Linked DNA regions of Macaca mulatta. The protein of the gene in region 1 purifies or fractionates together with the protein of each later gene. This does not show direct contact. Links are inferred from orthologs where the notes say so. Each region holds a gene or a part of one and is shown on either strand. Other genes may lie near its edges.

What was found. Proteins that work in one complex are often made in the same cells at the same time.
Region 2: the proteins of BIRC2 (region 1) and TANK purify together in Homo sapiens (affinity purification with mass spectrometry; 4 studies listed by BioGRID and IntAct, with this or other methods). This does not show direct contact. The link is inferred for Macaca mulatta from reciprocal best matches to the Homo sapiens genes BIRC2 and TANK.

The regions. Positions count from the first base shown.
Region 1 is NC_133419.1:103,215,407-103,224,135, forward strand, and holds the start of BIRC2 (baculoviral IAP repeat-containing protein 2), read left to right. Parts: upstream 1-3,219; 5' UTR 3,220-3,365; intron 3,366-3,382; exon of another isoform or gene 3,383-3,824; intron 3,825-4,591; 5' UTR 4,592-5,849; coding exon 5,850-6,744; intron 6,745-6,840; coding exon 6,841-6,940; intron 6,941-8,729. UniProt on the Homo sapiens protein: Multi-functional protein which regulates not only caspases and apoptosis, but also modulates inflammatory signaling and immunity, mitogenic kinase signaling, and cell proliferation, as well as cell invasion and metastasis.
Region 2 is NC_133417.1:66,042,761-66,050,052, forward strand, and holds the end of TANK (TRAF family member-associated NF-kappa-B activator), read left to right. Parts: intron 1-3,452; coding exon 3,453-3,629; 3' UTR 3,630-4,267; downstream 4,268-7,292.

The sequences.
Region 1 (8,729 bases):
CATACCCATGGATGGGTATGTGGCCATATTAGGCAAATTTACATATGGATTTACCATTTGAACTAACTTCTGGGAATATATCCTAAAATAAGATGTGTTCCCATGACTATTCATTGCAGCACTATTTGTAATAGCAAAAGCCTGGAAACCACCCAGATGTCCATCCATAGGGAAGTAGCTGAATATATTATGGTACTAATTTTATCTATGACTGGGGAGCTTATTCAGGTTGGATCCTTAGTCTTTGACGTGGCCCTAGCAGTTTTTGGCTGCTTTCTGAATTATGTTGTTGAATATATTATGGCACATCTACACAACGGAGTACTATATAGAAACGAGGAATAGCTCTATATGTATTACATAATCTCTAGAATTTATTATGAAGTGAAAAAAGGTGGAGAAAAGTATGCTACTATTATTTATCTAAGAAAAGGGTAGGTATAAACATGCATAATTACATTTTTAAAATGAAAAAATGAATCATAAAAAGTGTTTAAGTCATTACTTATGGGGCAGGAAGGAAAAAGTAGAGGGGAGACCAAGGATTTTCAAAACAAAGGGAGTTACAGATGTGCAATCAAAGAGGTTAAATAAAACCTTGACTTCCTGAATTTGAATCGGAAGTATCAATGAGTTTGTGATATATTTGATTTAAAAAACAAAAACCAAACCAAAACAAACCCATACTAACCAGCTTTGTCCATTGAACAGGTATAGAAACAATCAAACTCATTAACAATGAACACGACAAACATTTTTTGTTTGTTGTTCCTTGCAGCGCTAACTCACAGGAGACAAACATTCAGATTATGCTCTTTAAATACCATTTCCCACTAAAGGATCCAGGACACTTAGGAGTAATGGCTTATTATGGGTATGGAGTAAGAAATACACAAAATGAGCCTGGAAAGCAAAGACTACTAGGAAAGTATCAAAAAGACTCAGGAGCCAACCTGAGTAAACTCTCACCGGCCTAAAATAAAACAACTTGAGCACTAATAGTGATAATAGCTGCGATGGATTACAACTCACCAAACTTCTTTAAATCCCTGGATTCATAATGATGGCTGTTTACTTTTGAGGGTTTTTTTAAAAAATCAAGCAGAGATTTTTAAATAGTATATGGTAGTGATCTAATTTTATTTTCCATTAGAATAACCATTCATTCAGCATTACTTATTGACTAATTAATCCTTTTCTTATTAATACATAATGCCAGTATATCAAATTCCCAAATACATTGATATGGGTCTCTTTTTGGGGCTCTGTATCTCCTTCTTTTGTTTAATTGTACATCCTAGTGCATTTAATAATACACGACTGTCTCAATTACTATGGCTTTATTGTAACTCATTACCTGGTAGGACAAGACTTTCCAATCTTAACTTTTCTTCTTCAAAATTGTTTTAAATACTGTAAATATTTTTTCTACATATATATGAAAAACGTTAGAATGGCAACTGTAGCAGACATACTAGCTTATTTTTTAAGATTAACAGCAACTTTATACTAGTAAAACGAAAAAAATTAACTGAATAACCAGGTAACTGAATTAACTAACTGTAACACTAGACTACAAAGTTATACAAGAATAAAAGTTATGAAGTACTATTTATTATACCTAAATATTACATATATTTTTTGTTAAAAATATCTAAGGCTTTTGAATTTTTGAAATGCAAGCTTTCCCCTATACTTAAGTATATTCATTATCTTACTGTTTTGGTCAGGACAAGAACTGAAAAAGAGAAATACTTGAGTTCAGAATGAACAATTCTTGCTATATATATTTTCCCACATGTTAGGAATGTTCTGTAACTTTCCGAGAAATAGTGACTTGAACTAAATACTAAACTACTACCAAGCCCCACGTGCATTTTTGGAAGTTTTTAGTCATTGGGAGCCATGGCATTTCTTTTCTCTGTATTACAAACTGTTACACTCACTTTCTTTGACTATTAACATTGGAACAGTAGACCTCCTGTTCTGTGACTGACTGGCAGGCAGAAATGACACGGACAGGAAATGGGAAATGGTTCAGGGTCTTGGAATTCCCCCGGCTGCCTAATTAAGTGGTTCGCTATTTGGAAGTTTTTAAAATATTTGCCCCTTGGAGTTCCCCAGAGAGAAGCAAGCATTGGATTCAATGGGCAAAGAGCGTCAACTTCAAAAGTCATTCGTTGGCTGTCATAGCACAAACATTTACTGCATGCCACTGTGTCTATGGCACTACTGGGGGAGTATGGCGGAGGGATACAAAAGGTCCATCACTAGTAAAAGCCAAGGGTGTTTGTTTACAAATTTTCTATTACCTAAGCATTAAAAAAAAAAACAACCTTGGGCTTCTCTGTGGTTTATGTACAATTATATGTGCATGTACACCAATACACAGGCGGACGTATATATTTCATTTTATTGAAACATTCAGAAAATACTGGGAGTGAAGCCTGACTTGCAATACCGTTCCCGTTGCTGGCAATGAGCATCTGAAATAATGACACTTTTGTCTTTAGTGCATATGCACTGTTTGTCTCCAGAACAGAAAACCAAAAGTTTAAAAACAAGATAACCTAGTTGATTGTAAAACTCATCGAGTCAAAATTATTCATCAGATGCTTCCTACTTTCCAACGCTTCGCTTTTTTCGATTTGCACAAACAGCTGTTGAACGCTGATGCTACACAAACGGTTACAACTGTTTACTTGAGCAAAAAATGCCATCAGACTGACTCCATCCTCAAAATGCAGTCATCTCGACGGGGGAGGCATCACACTAGGGGAGCCTTGCCAGGGGCCAGATCATAACCCTGAGGTGACACAGGGTAGACGCGCAAAACCACCGGCGCCAGGGCGTTTCCGCAGGGTTTCCCAAGAGTCAAACGCAGCGGCTCACGGTTTGCCACGTCCCCCAGGAGAATGGTAGGCACAGAGAGAGAGGAAACGTGGAGGGGGCACAAACTGCAAGGTGAAGAAAACGAACAAACACCGAGTTGATACGGATAGTCCCCGTTCCCCTAAGGGCCGACCCCGCGACTCCCGATGGGCGTCCAGTTGCGCCGGGGGTCCCTGAGCCTCCCAGCGTCTTTCCCGGCGGTTAGTCGCCCCACGGCCGCAAGTGCGCTCGGTTTCGCTTTCCGGCCCCAGCCTCCCGGGCGCCCTCGCGCGGCTGCCAACGCGAGTCTCCGGCCGGGCGCGCTGACGTCATCGTGCGTCGGCGTGAGCCCGGATGGGGCGGCGGGCTTCGGGAGCGCCGGAGCTGACCCGAGCCGAGGCGGCCGTGTCTCCTTGTCGGTACCGCCGCTTCCCGGCTCTGGGGAGGCCTCTAGGCTGCCGCGCAGCTTCCTTGTTTGCTGCGCCCGCACTGCGGTGAGTGCTGCTCCTTCCGGACTCGGGCGGCGCGGGGAGGGTGGGGACGCGCGGGCCCGCGGGGGCCCACTTCCCTGATGTGGCGGCCGGGCGAGGAAGGAAGGGGCCAGAGGCCCTTCGGCCAAGGGTCGAGGGTCGCCGGGGGCTCTCTGCTTTCTACTCTCGCCAAGGTTTTATTGGATTCGGAAGCCCAAACTTCAAGACTTGCAGTCAAAGCCGTTTTTAAAATATGACTTGTTTTCAAACCTCCTCTGGCCGCCGCCCACTCTTCTGGCCCTTGGACTTTGACCAAGATGTTTTCTCGCAGTTTTTGCAAGGTTTTAAACAGCCCTCGGCGTTCTTTTAATGTAATACATTGAAACGAAGATATTTCGGTGGCGGTGATATTTCATATTTCATAGTTGCCACTGCGCTCTGTCATTCCAGTAGTCTGTTGTGTATTGTGAGAAACAACTCTGGGTAATTATTGGGTAAATCCCATAGTTTCTATTCTTTTCTCTTCCATCCTATCCCCTGTCCAGCTGCAGTTTGCATAAAGAGAATGCTGCAGTACGGTGCTCGCAGATAAAAGTCTTTCGTTTAAAGATAGTATATAAAAAATCGCGTGTAATTAAAGCAATCATGCCAGTGGGCGTCAGGCCACTGTTTCACAGGCCGCTGTGTTAGGTTTTGTTTTCGGTTGTTTTCTACCGTCGTTGCTTTGAAATTGTAAGGGATTGGCAGAGTTTAAGGGTTTATATTAATGAACTCGTGGTACATTTTACTGCAGTTTTCCTAGTCGCGGAGAGACTTGATATTACAAACTAACGTTGCTGTCTGATTACTGCTGTACTGCTGTTGACAGGGTTTAGTGGAGTACCTTGTCGCTCTCTCTGCCTTTTTCACCAATGTTCCTTTGCCTCCAGCAGAGTGCCAAAGATACCTTTAGGTCAGAAAAGGGGAGGAGAGCAAGGACAAAATGTTTTCCTGTGTGAAAATTTCCATCTGTCTCTAAAGTTGTGCTTTTTAAAGACACGTATAGTTAGTGCTATGGGAGTATGTTGCATTTATTTATTTTAATTAAGAGCTTTTTCAGTTAGAAAGTTGTGACAAATTGCTGGAAATTAAGATGTGTTATCTAAAATGTAAATTATTCTTAGACTTTAGTGAATAAATTGAAGAGTATGTAAGTTCTATTTGGCATGCAAATACGGTTTTCTAAAATACCTTTTGTTTTTTCTTTTCAGATTTACAGCCCTGAAGAATCCTCCTCTCCCTTTCCCCTTGCAGTAATAAATCCCATTTTGGAGATCTCGAAGCTTTATAAAGGGATATAGTTTGAATTCTATGGAGTGTAATTTTGTGTATGAATTATATTTTTAAAACATTGAAGAGTTTTCAGAAAGAAGGCTAGTAGAGTTGATTACTGATACGTTATGCTAAGCAGTACTTTTTTGGTAATACAGTATTTTGTTAGGCGTTTCTGATAACACTAGAAAGGACAAGTTGTGTCTTGTGACAAATTGATTAATGTTTACAGCATGACTGATAATTATAGCTGAATAGTCCTTAAATGATGAACAGGTTATTTAGTTTTTAAATGCAGTGTGAAAAGTGTGCTGTGGAAATTTTATGGCTAACTAATTAAGTTTATGGAGAAAATACCTTCAGTTGATCAAGAATAATAAAGTGGTATACAAAGTTAGGAAGAAAGTCAACATGCTGCAGGAAATAGAAACAAATACAAATGATATTTAACAAAGATAGAAGAGTTTATAGTTTGTGAACTTTAAGCCAAATTCATTTGACATCAAACACTATAACAGGCACAGGTTCAACAAAGCTTGTGGGTGTTGACTTCCCCAAAAGTTGTCAGCTGAAGTAATATAGCCCGCTTATGTAAATACTATGGTGATAAGCTGTGTGAACTTAGCCTTTAAATAGTGTGACCATATGAAGATTTTAATTACTTTTGTTTATTGGAATAAAATGAGATTTTTTGGGGACATTATATTAAAGTGCTTATAGGGAAAGAAGCCTGCATGTAATTTTTTACCTTGTGGCATAATCAGTAATTGATCTGTTACCCAGGCTTCATAGCTTGTAACCAAATATAAATAAAAGGAGTAATTTAGGTATTCTGTAGTTGCTTAGAATTTTGAGAATATAAATCTCTGTGAAAAATCAAGGAGTTTCAACATTTTCAAAAGGGCATCCACCTCTCAGGGCTTTAGGTTAGTATTACTCAAGATTATGAACAAATAGCACTTAGATTACTTAAAAGAGTTACTACAACCCCAAAGACTTGTGTTCCAAGTAGTATCTTGGTAATTCAGAGAGAGACTCATCCTACCTGAATATAAACTGAGATAAATCCAGTAAAGAAAGTGTAGTGAATTCTACGTAAGAGTCTATCATTGATTTCTTTTTGTGGTAAAAATCTTATTTTGTGTGAAGAAATTTCATGTGACTGTTTTAGCTATCAAACAGTACTGTCACCTACTCATGCACAAAACTGCCTCCCAAAGACTTTTCCCAGGTCCCTCGTATCAAAACATTAAGAGTATAATGGAAGATAGCACGATCTTGTCAGATTGGACAAACAGCAACAAACAAAAAATGAAGTATGACTTTTCCTGTGAACTCTACAGAATGTCTACATATTCAACTTTCCCCACCGGCGTTCCTGTCTCAGAAAGGAGTCTTGCTCGTGCTGGTTTTTATTATACTGGTGTGAATGACAAGGTCAAATGCTTCTGTTGTGGCCTGATGCTGGATAACTGGAAACTAGGAGACAGTCCTATTGAAAAGCATAAACAACTATATCCTAGCTGTAGCTTTATTCAGAATCTGGTTTCAGCTACTCTGGGATCCACCTCTAAGAATACTTCTCCAATGAGAAACAGTTTTGCACATTCATTATCTCCCACCTTGGAACATAGTAGCTTGTTCAGTGGTTCTTACTCTAGCCTTTCACCAAACCCTCTTAATTCTAGAGCAGTTGAAGACTTGTCTCCATCGAGGACTAACCCCTACAGTTATGCAATGAGTACTGAAGAAGCCCGATTTCTTACCTACCATATGTGGCCATTAACTTTTTTGTCACCATCAGAATTGGCAAGAGCTGGTTTTTATTATATAGGACCTGGAGATAGGGTAGCCTGCTTTGCCTGTGGTGGGAAGCTCAGTAACTGGGAACCAAAGGATGATGCTATGTCAGAACACCGGAGGCATTTTCCCAACTGTCCATTTTTGGAAAATTCTCTAGAAACGCTGAGGTTTAGCATTTCAAATCTGAGCATGCAGACACATGCAGCTCGAATGAGAACGTTTATGTACTGGCCATCCAGTGTTCCAGTTCAGCCTGAGCAGCTTGCAAGTGCTGGTTTTTATTATGTGGGTAAGAAGCAAATAACTACATTTTATCATTTTATTTTGATTTACATATTAGAACATAATGTGTTTTCAATATTTAGTCTTTTTTTTTTTCTTGAAGGTCGCAATGATGATGTCAAATGCTTTTGTTGTGATGGCGGCTTGAGGTGTTGGGAATCTGGAGATGATCCATGGGTAGAACATGCCAAGTGGTTTCCAAGGTAATTGTTTTGAAAAAGGTATTTGTACAAAAAACTCTGCTTAAAAGAAGTAGGCATGCTTACATGATTTAGTTTACCGTTAAATTATAACAAAGCCTCTTTTGTGCCGCTGGGGAATTATCCTTCTAAAAGATCACATTTTAACTTTAATTGTTTTGTTGAAAAATATTATGCAGTCTTCTGTGTACTTTTGTAAGTCAGTTACAAGTATAGCCATACATTTTATTTATTGCCCGTCTTCTTTTAAACAGTACTTAAGGATTACAAAGACATATAAAATAGATTAAAAAGAAGTTAGAAAAAGGTAAGAACAGGAAAACAAGAAGGGACATAGAATGGATGCAGGAATAAGGCAAATGTAAAAATGCATATATTAAGAGCATATCTTGGCTGGGTGCAGTGGCTCACACCTGTAATCCCAGCACTTTGGGAGGCCAAGACAGGTGGACCACCTGAGGTCAGGAGTTCAAGACCAGCCTGACCAACATGGTGAAACCCTGTATCTACTAAAAATACAAAAACTGACTGGGCATGGTGGCACACGGCTGTAGTCCCAGCTTCTCGGGAGGCTGAGGCAGGAGAATCGGTTGAGCCCAGGAGGTGGAGGCTGCAGTGAGCCAGGATCATGCCACTGCACTCCAGCCTGGGTAACAGCGAGACTCCATCATCTGACTGCCCATTTTAATTGTAATTGTAAGTTTTTTTTTCTGTACAATTTTCTTTTTTTATAATCTGTCATTTACCTCTTTTTAGCCACTTTATCTCTAGCAGTGTCTTTTTATTGTAGCCTAGAAAGAATTTAGGGGCAGTGTTATTAGTAGAAATAAAATTAGAGATTAATTGTGTTTGTAATTGAGTAGCTGTGTGAACTGAGACATCATTTGTAAAATGAGGAGGGGTTGGCCTGGATAATTTTTTTTAAATAGTGATAAAATAGGCATAACATAACATTTACAATCTTAACCATTTTTAAGTGTAGAGTTCTGTGTCATTAAGTACATTCATACTGTTCTGCGATCACACCGCTATCCATCTCCAGAATCTTTGCATCTTCCCAAACTGAAACTGTCTACCCATCAAGTACTAATTCCCCATTCCCCTTTCCCCAGCATCCTGGCAACCACCATTCTACTTCTTTTTTTGTTTGTTTTTTTGTGGTGGAGTCTTGCTCTGTCATCCAGGCTGGAGTGCAGTGACATGATCTTGGCTCACTGCAACCTCCACCTCCCAGGTTCAAGCGATTCTCCTGCGTCAGGCTCCTGAGTAGCTGGGATTACAGGTGCCCGCCACCACACCTGGCTAATTTTTTTGTATTTTTAGTAGAGACGGTTTTTAGTAGAGACCCAGTTTCACCATGTTGGCCAGGCCGATCTTGAACTGCTGACCTCAAGCGATCTGCTCACCTCTGCCTCGAAAAGTGCTGGGATTACAGGTGCCCGCCACCACACCTGGCTAATTTTTTTGTATTTTTAGTAGAGACGGTTTTTAGTAGAGACCCAGTTTCACCATGTTGGCCAGGCCGATCTTGAACTCCTGACCTCAAGCGATCTGCTCACCTCTGCCTCGGAAAGTGCTGGGATTACAGGTGTGAGCCACCGCTCCCTGCTCCACCATTCTGTTTCTGTCTCTATGAATTCGACTACTCTAGGCACCACATATAAGTGGAATCATACATATAGATTATGTTTTTACCTGTGAGTGTCTTTCACAATAATGAAGAATCTCTTGAACCCCTTCAGGAAATTAAAAACATATTTTTGTCATTTTGTGTGATATATGATGAAAAAGA
Region 2 (7,292 bases), on another chromosome or scaffold:
AGTGTGAAACAAATGCTGTTTTATTTAATAGTTTCTGTATATCATATTCATCTTTATAAGAATTCACGATCTTATGTAAATAATTGCATCTTACATTCCTATTTATCAACATAAGTGAACTATCTTTCAATGAATACTTCTACTATATCCTCAGTTATATAGTACGTAGATCTGTAGGGTTTAGTTTTGGTTTTGGTTGCTAATCTGGAAATGAACATGTAGCCTAGTATATTTTTAAAATAGTCTCTGCATGTGTATGATATCAGATATTTTATTCAATGTTTCTAAATCTCACAGACTTATGTCCCCCAAACCACTCCTGCCCTCCCTTTTAGATTCAAGTTCCATCACAGAATGATTCTTTTAGTTAAAAAAAAAGTTTAATGTCTGAAAGCAAATGAAAACTATAAAATTTTTACAAAAAACAGAAGCTTATGAAAATAGATTGATGTAAATGTCTATGTAACTTGCAAACATTTGTCTGATTTCTCTTTGCCTTGAGATTTTTTTTTTTTTAAAGTTGTTAATACCCTTTTGCTTTAAGTACACTTATAGGTTATAGACTTAAATCAGCATGCAAAGAAGGCAGTTGTCAAGCTGTGGTATATTTTAGTAGTGGGAAAAACTAGGCATGGCTGACAATAAGTTTTAATTATAACCTCACTTAGGTTCTTGTTCATTATACTTTATTTCACATCATAGTCTCTGTTATAGTTGCTACTAAATGAAACAAATTAAACAATTTCATTTATTGCAAGTAGAATTCCTGTGGAGCTGTGAAGTGCATCAGTTCTAATGCTTGTTACTTTTTTCTCTATTATATGTCTTGCTTGTTCTTTTACTAGTCTGTGCATTCATGTTTCAGTAGATGGCACCCTGCATTGTACATTTGCTTTCTATACTACAGCAAGGGAAACAGCTGGTATGTGATTACAACTTGATGGAAAAGTATTCAGCTTAAAAAATTCAGGAGAATTAGTGTTGAGTTGTCACAAGACATGGGGCATAAGGTTAGATAATTGATATTTTAGCAGAAAAAGCAAAGAAATTAGTTTGTTTTGAAGACCATGTTACAGTTTAGGATGGAAAGAATATTTCTTAAAGTGAGTTTTTTAAAAAACATTTTAAGCTATTTTATTTGTATTAATAAAGCTAGTATTATACAAGCTAGTATAAGTACAAAATTCCTGAGTTGGGCCAGGTACGGTGGTTCATGCCTATAATCCCAGCACTTTGGGAGGCTGAGGCAGGAGGATTGACTGAGCCTAGGAATTTGAGACCAGCCTGGGCAACACAGTGAGAACTTGTCTCTACAAATACATATAGATATATAGATATTTGTAGCTGGTTGTGGTGGCATGCGCCTATTGTCTCCAGCTACTTGGGAAGCTGAGGTGGGAGGATTGCTTGAGCTAGGTAGTTCGAGGTTGCAGTGAGCTGTGATGGTGCCACCACACTTCAGCCTGGGTGACAGAGCAAGACCCTGTCTCAAAATAATAATAATAATAATAATAATAATAATTTTTTTAATCCTGAGTTGTTTGTAGATAGTAACAAAGAGAAGTGAAATTTTTGGCTGCATATTTAAAAATTTTACTTTATATCAATCATTACTACTAAACATCTATTTTATATATTCAGCTATCATAACCAAGACTAAAGTGTATCAGATTATTATTGTTCTATGTGATTTTCTTTTTTACTTTGCTGAGTCAGTGAGTGGGATCCCAACTAAATTCTATGAAGAGATCAAATCTGAACTAAAAGTTCTTAATAGAGAAAAATGAATATGGACTTAATAGGTAAATTGGGAGCAGAAGATTGGCTTACCAAATTTAGAAGCTAAATTGCTTCTGATTTAATTTCTTGCTATTTTATATAAATAAGGACTATCTTTAATAATCTTTTATTTCTGGCCATATCAATTTCCCATTACAGTGATTTGTACTTTTTTGTTTAAAACTGAAAACATTAAAATTAGACTCAAGTTAACTCTAACTAGATTTTTGCTTGTATGCTCACAGTTTTTACTACTTTTACCAAAGAAGTTTTTCCAAAGAAAGTTATTTTACCTTAAATTTTATAACATTTGTTTTAAATATTACTATTTTTGTAATAAAATTGACATTTCTTATGAAAGGAATTGAGTCAGCATTATTATAAGTCCTCCATACTGATATTTGAATGTATCTGGGTGCCTAGACAGACGTTGTATATTTATACCAATTGTACACAGCTGTCCAGTAAACTGTTTATAAGAAGACAGTGATGTCGTGAAACCCAAATGCTTCAATCGGTAATATACTGTTTATGTAAATGATTGGTTAGCCAGAATGAAAGAAGTTAGGGGAAATAACAGTAACACTTGTCAGGTGCTAGACTAGGCTGTGTGACTTTAAAAACATATTAGTAATAGGAGGATAAGGGGTCTTTTTAAATTTGACTTTATGAGGTGATTAAAATACCAGAATTTAGCTGTGTCAGAGTAATTTACCTGTGTCCACATAAGAAAGAAATTTTAAAAAATAATTTGTTTTACACAATTCAGGGAAATATTTTCCAGTTAACAAACATCTATTGTGTAGCTATTATTAAGCCAAATGCTATTTCTTGTCCTTCTAGAAGTTTTAAAAAAAAAAAAGAATAATGCAGTTATGAAAGGGTATTTATGTGCTGGTTATAGTGGAGGTGGTTCTATTAGATTATGACTTGCCATAATTCTTTAACCAGGCAACTATTGACAAGTTTCACTTTATTCAGCCACAAGAATGAGTAAGGGCAAACTACCTATTATATAACAGAAGCAAAGTAAGAAGTCAAAACACTGCATGTGTTAGATTTTGTTGAATGATTAAGTATTTGCATTTTTAAAAACAAATAAAAGATAACTGATCAGTGAAATTTGTTCAGTAGTTTAAAAGGAAAATTTTCTTTTTAAAAATCAAAATAATGCTGATTCATGTATGATGTATTCACTGTATCTGCTTATAAACAATAGTGAAATTGATTTTGAGTAAGACGCAATGCACACACACATCATGTCTTGTGTACTGTGTAATTAATAAAGCCCCTATAAGTTAAGGTTTTTATTGTAAAAAATAAAAGACAGAATTTAATTTAAAAGACCAGAGTATTAACTATTGTTCCAAAACTACTCACGTTGTGATCATTGGGTATTAAAAATTGCATGCTAAAGCTGCAATCTTTTTAAATATGATAAAATGCATAAGTGTGTGTCCCAAGTGGCTTTTAATCAAAGTTTAGTTGTCCCTTTTATGAAACCAAGAATTGAGTCATGTCCTCATGCTAACTTCATGGAAAAGTAATTTGCTTTTATATTAGGGAATTAAATATATATGCTCATACATAACTCATTCAAAAATTCAAATTTGAAGTCCAGTGCTATTTGAATTTAAACATAAGTAACAGATATTTTTGTTTGTTTCCTGCAGCCCATTTGGAAGCCCTTTCCTAATCAAAACAGTGACTCGGTGGTACTAAGTGGCACAGACTCAGAACTGCATATACCTCGAGTATGTGAATTCTGTCAAGCAGTTTTCCCACCATCCATTACATCCAGAGGGGATTTCCTTCGGCATCTTAATTCACACTTCAATGGAGAGACTTAAGACACATTTGAAAACAGACATACCAAGTTCTATGTGATGATTTGGGGTTTGTAATACTATAAATACTTGATTGTAAACTAAATTCAAGATCATTTATAGGAAAATCTAGTTTCACAGCTATTTGAATTGTTTTCTAGATTTACTGTATAACTCTTTCATTTTTTTAAAAGATCATTCTATTCTTTCAAGGAGAAATAAGCCTAAAAGAAGAAAAACAAAAAAAAACTGCATAAAACTGCAATCCTTTGTATTCATGTTTACAGTGCTATTACTATAATTCAAAATTACATATGTGACTTAGTTATATAATCATAATTTATGTTTATTTCAAATATCTAAGTTTATTGCTTGGATTTCTAGTGAGAGCTGTTGAATTTGGTGATGTCAAATGTTTCTAGGGTTTTCTTTGTTTTTATTGAAAAATTTATTTATGCTATAGGTGATATTCTTTAAATAAACCTATAATAGAAAATAGCAGACAACATAAACATCTTTGTAAATATCAAACCTAATACATTTCTTGTCCAGTGATAAAACAACTGGTAGAATTATTTAAACACTTAAGATTTTTAAAATAATATACATGGCTTTAATTTTACTATGTGTATAGCTACATGATGAAATTAAATATTAAGAGGTACTTATGTTGTGATCAGTAGTGTGTCCTTTGTTCTTGATATAAAAAAAAAAAGGAAGGAATCACATTTTTAGGGAAGTTTATAAAATTCTTGTTTTCTTTTCAGTAACCTAGTAGAAAGGTGATGACCAGATTTGGTGGCATTTATTGACAATTAGTGAATCACTTTGAATTTTAGAATTATTTTTCAAACTCAACTTTCTAAAGAAACATTTGTTTTTAATGGGAGCAAATATAAAACCCTACAAGGACTATCCATATTTGTTAACTTAGATTAGAAATGTTCATATTCTTGTTGAGAAATTTGTTATTCATTGTTAGCAGCCTGATTGATAGCCACTGAAAGACATTTGAGAGAGTGGATACCAAATTCAGAAGGCTGCAAAATTTGTTTAAAATGAGACTTCCCTTTCATTTTTATTCCCTATGATTCTCGCCTTTTAGGTGTCTCTTTTCCCCTGATTCTTAAAAGTGTTTAAGGCATGGCTTCCATTTTATGAAGTAAGCATTGATTTGCAACCCTCAAAAATTTAAGCCTTCTTGAAGCAAGTGCTTTAAACTGGAGGGTGTGGGGTGGGGGAATTTGAGCAGACCTCTGTGCCCCAGTGAAGAACCTTAACTTGTGGAAGAATGAGAGTGGTGCCTCGACTTCTCCCAGTGCCAAGCACATCATATTGACATCTTCCTCACCAAGGTGACAGCAATTATTAGGTATTCACTGCGAAGGGTTCTGAGGCATGTACATCTTTCTTTCATTGCCACTAGGGCTGAATGGAAATGCCTAGACAATTATCCAAGTTTCTTCCCTTCCCCCACCTCCCGCCCACCCAGCCTCCCCTCTCCACACACGCACGCACACACACACGCACACGCACACAAAATTAAAAATAAAAACTTCCCAGCGTGTACCAGCCAGAAGATACCACTGTACCTATCTCGTGAAAGGGGATCCTTTTTTTCCCCTGTCCTTTTCTAGATGGGAAGACTTCCTCTCAACACAGTTGACATCTACTAAGTGCTTGCTGACAACCACAGGAAAGTCTATGGCCCAGAAAGTGACTCAGAGTGTACTACTGACCTTCCTCCCCAGCCCATCCTTTCCCCGCCCCCACCACTTTTAGCAGGACTAGCAAACTCGGTTTTCTTTTGCGTTCCAGCGGCACCCTAAGCTCCACGTTGTGAGGGACAGAGACCCTTTGGGGCCACAGGAGAGGCGGCCTGGAGAGCAGCCCCCGCCCTGCTCTACATAGGAAGCGCGGGCCACCGCTCTAAAGGTGGAGTGGGCACCCGCCAGGTCTCTCCCTCTGTCTCTTGACTGAGTCGTGCAGGGGCTGCTGGCTTTTGGCATCTGCTAAGCGTGGCCGGGTAAGAACAGCTCCCAGGTAAAAAAGCTGCACACGCGAAACGCCGAGTCTGAAAAAACCACCCCCGCCGAGGCGAGGCAGTTGTGAGCGGGATGCCTGAGAAGTGGGAGGTGAATGTCCTCGGGAGGGCCCCCCCGGTGCAGCTTTCCCCGGAGGCTGAGGCTGCTGCCAGCGGGGACATCTGCTTTCTTACACTCCAGCCTGGCTCACCCCGCCCCCTCAGCCCCGGGTTGCGTGGTTATTTTACCAACACGGAGGGAGGGAGAGCTCGAGGAGGTAGAAAAGGGGTGGATGGAAGCTTATAAGATTTTCTTCCCACTCTTCGTCCCCTCCTTTCTTCACATCTTTTAACCTTCAAGGTAAAGAGTTTAGGAAACAATAAGCGTGTCCGCCGGCTCGCCGACCCGCCTTTGGCTCGCCGGGGCTCTCCGGCGCGGGGCCTTGCCCCTCTCCATCCTCCCTACGTCGGGCCGCGTTTCGGCGGTTCGGCTGGGCGCAGGGGCCAGCCGGGTGCGCCCAGCCTGTGGCGCCTCCTCTCCCCGGCTGCTGCCTCGACAGCTGCTTGTAGCTACAGTAATTAGACTGTCAGTGCTTGTTAGAGGAGAGAGGGGAAAACACGCTTCTGACAGCAGATTCCAAGACTCCCCAGTTTGTTAATTTCTAAGAGATCTTTAAAGCATTAATTGAGGTCTCCCCAACTCTCCCCTCCCGTCCCTCTCCGCAACTCCTCCCTTCCCAAAAATATCTTTAGGAGAAGCGAGTTCTCTCGGCGTGGAAGCAGTGTTTCCCGCAAAACTGCCAGCCCGCCCCCCGCTCACGCACAGGCGCACCCAATTTCCCATATACAGATAAATGCACACATGTATACGGGGAAGGTTAACTCGGCGGAGGACTCGCCCAAATAGGCACCGGGATTGCATTTAAAATAATAAATAAATAAATAAATAAATAAACTAGGAAGGAAAGCGGGGGGAGGGAAGCAGAAGTCGGGAAGAAAAGAGAAAAGCAGCAGGCTGATTACGAGGTGTCAAAACTGCCAGGAGCAAGAAGGTGATAGCAATCAGGGGTGAGAAGAGTGCGGCATTCGTGCGGGGCAACTAATTATCCGTCTCATTTGAGAAGAGCAGCATTTGAGGCAGCAGCGTTCGCCTGCTGAACGGTGACAGATTGGCGCGGAGGAGAGGGGAGGTGTTAAAACAATGGAGCCGGGCGCGCGAGCGCTGCTGCATGCTAATCAGCCCTCCCTCCGCCTGCCTGCCGCGCTCCCTCCTTCCTCCCGGCTTCCCTCCTCCGCGCTCCCTCCTCCCGCCTGCGGCGCTCCCTCCTTTCCAGCGGGCCCCGCGCCGCCGCCGCCACCCGCTTCCTGCTCCCTCGCTTTCCCGCGCGTCCTTCCCGCCGCTGGCGAGTGGAACACAGCCACCGCTAGTGAGTCCCTAGCGGGCCGGGAGCCCCCGCGCGGCCCTCCGAGCCGGCCCGGCGGAGCGCGGCCCCGCGCGGGTTCGCCTGAGGGCTCGGTCGGCGCCGCGCGCCCACTCCCCGGGGCGGTGGGGCGAGGACCCGCCATCCAGGATCCACGTCTTGGGGAACAGGCCGAAGAGCCCCGTTCTCACGCCCACTCGCTTTCTGGTGAATCTAACGCGTCGGCCAGCGAGTGCGAGTGGG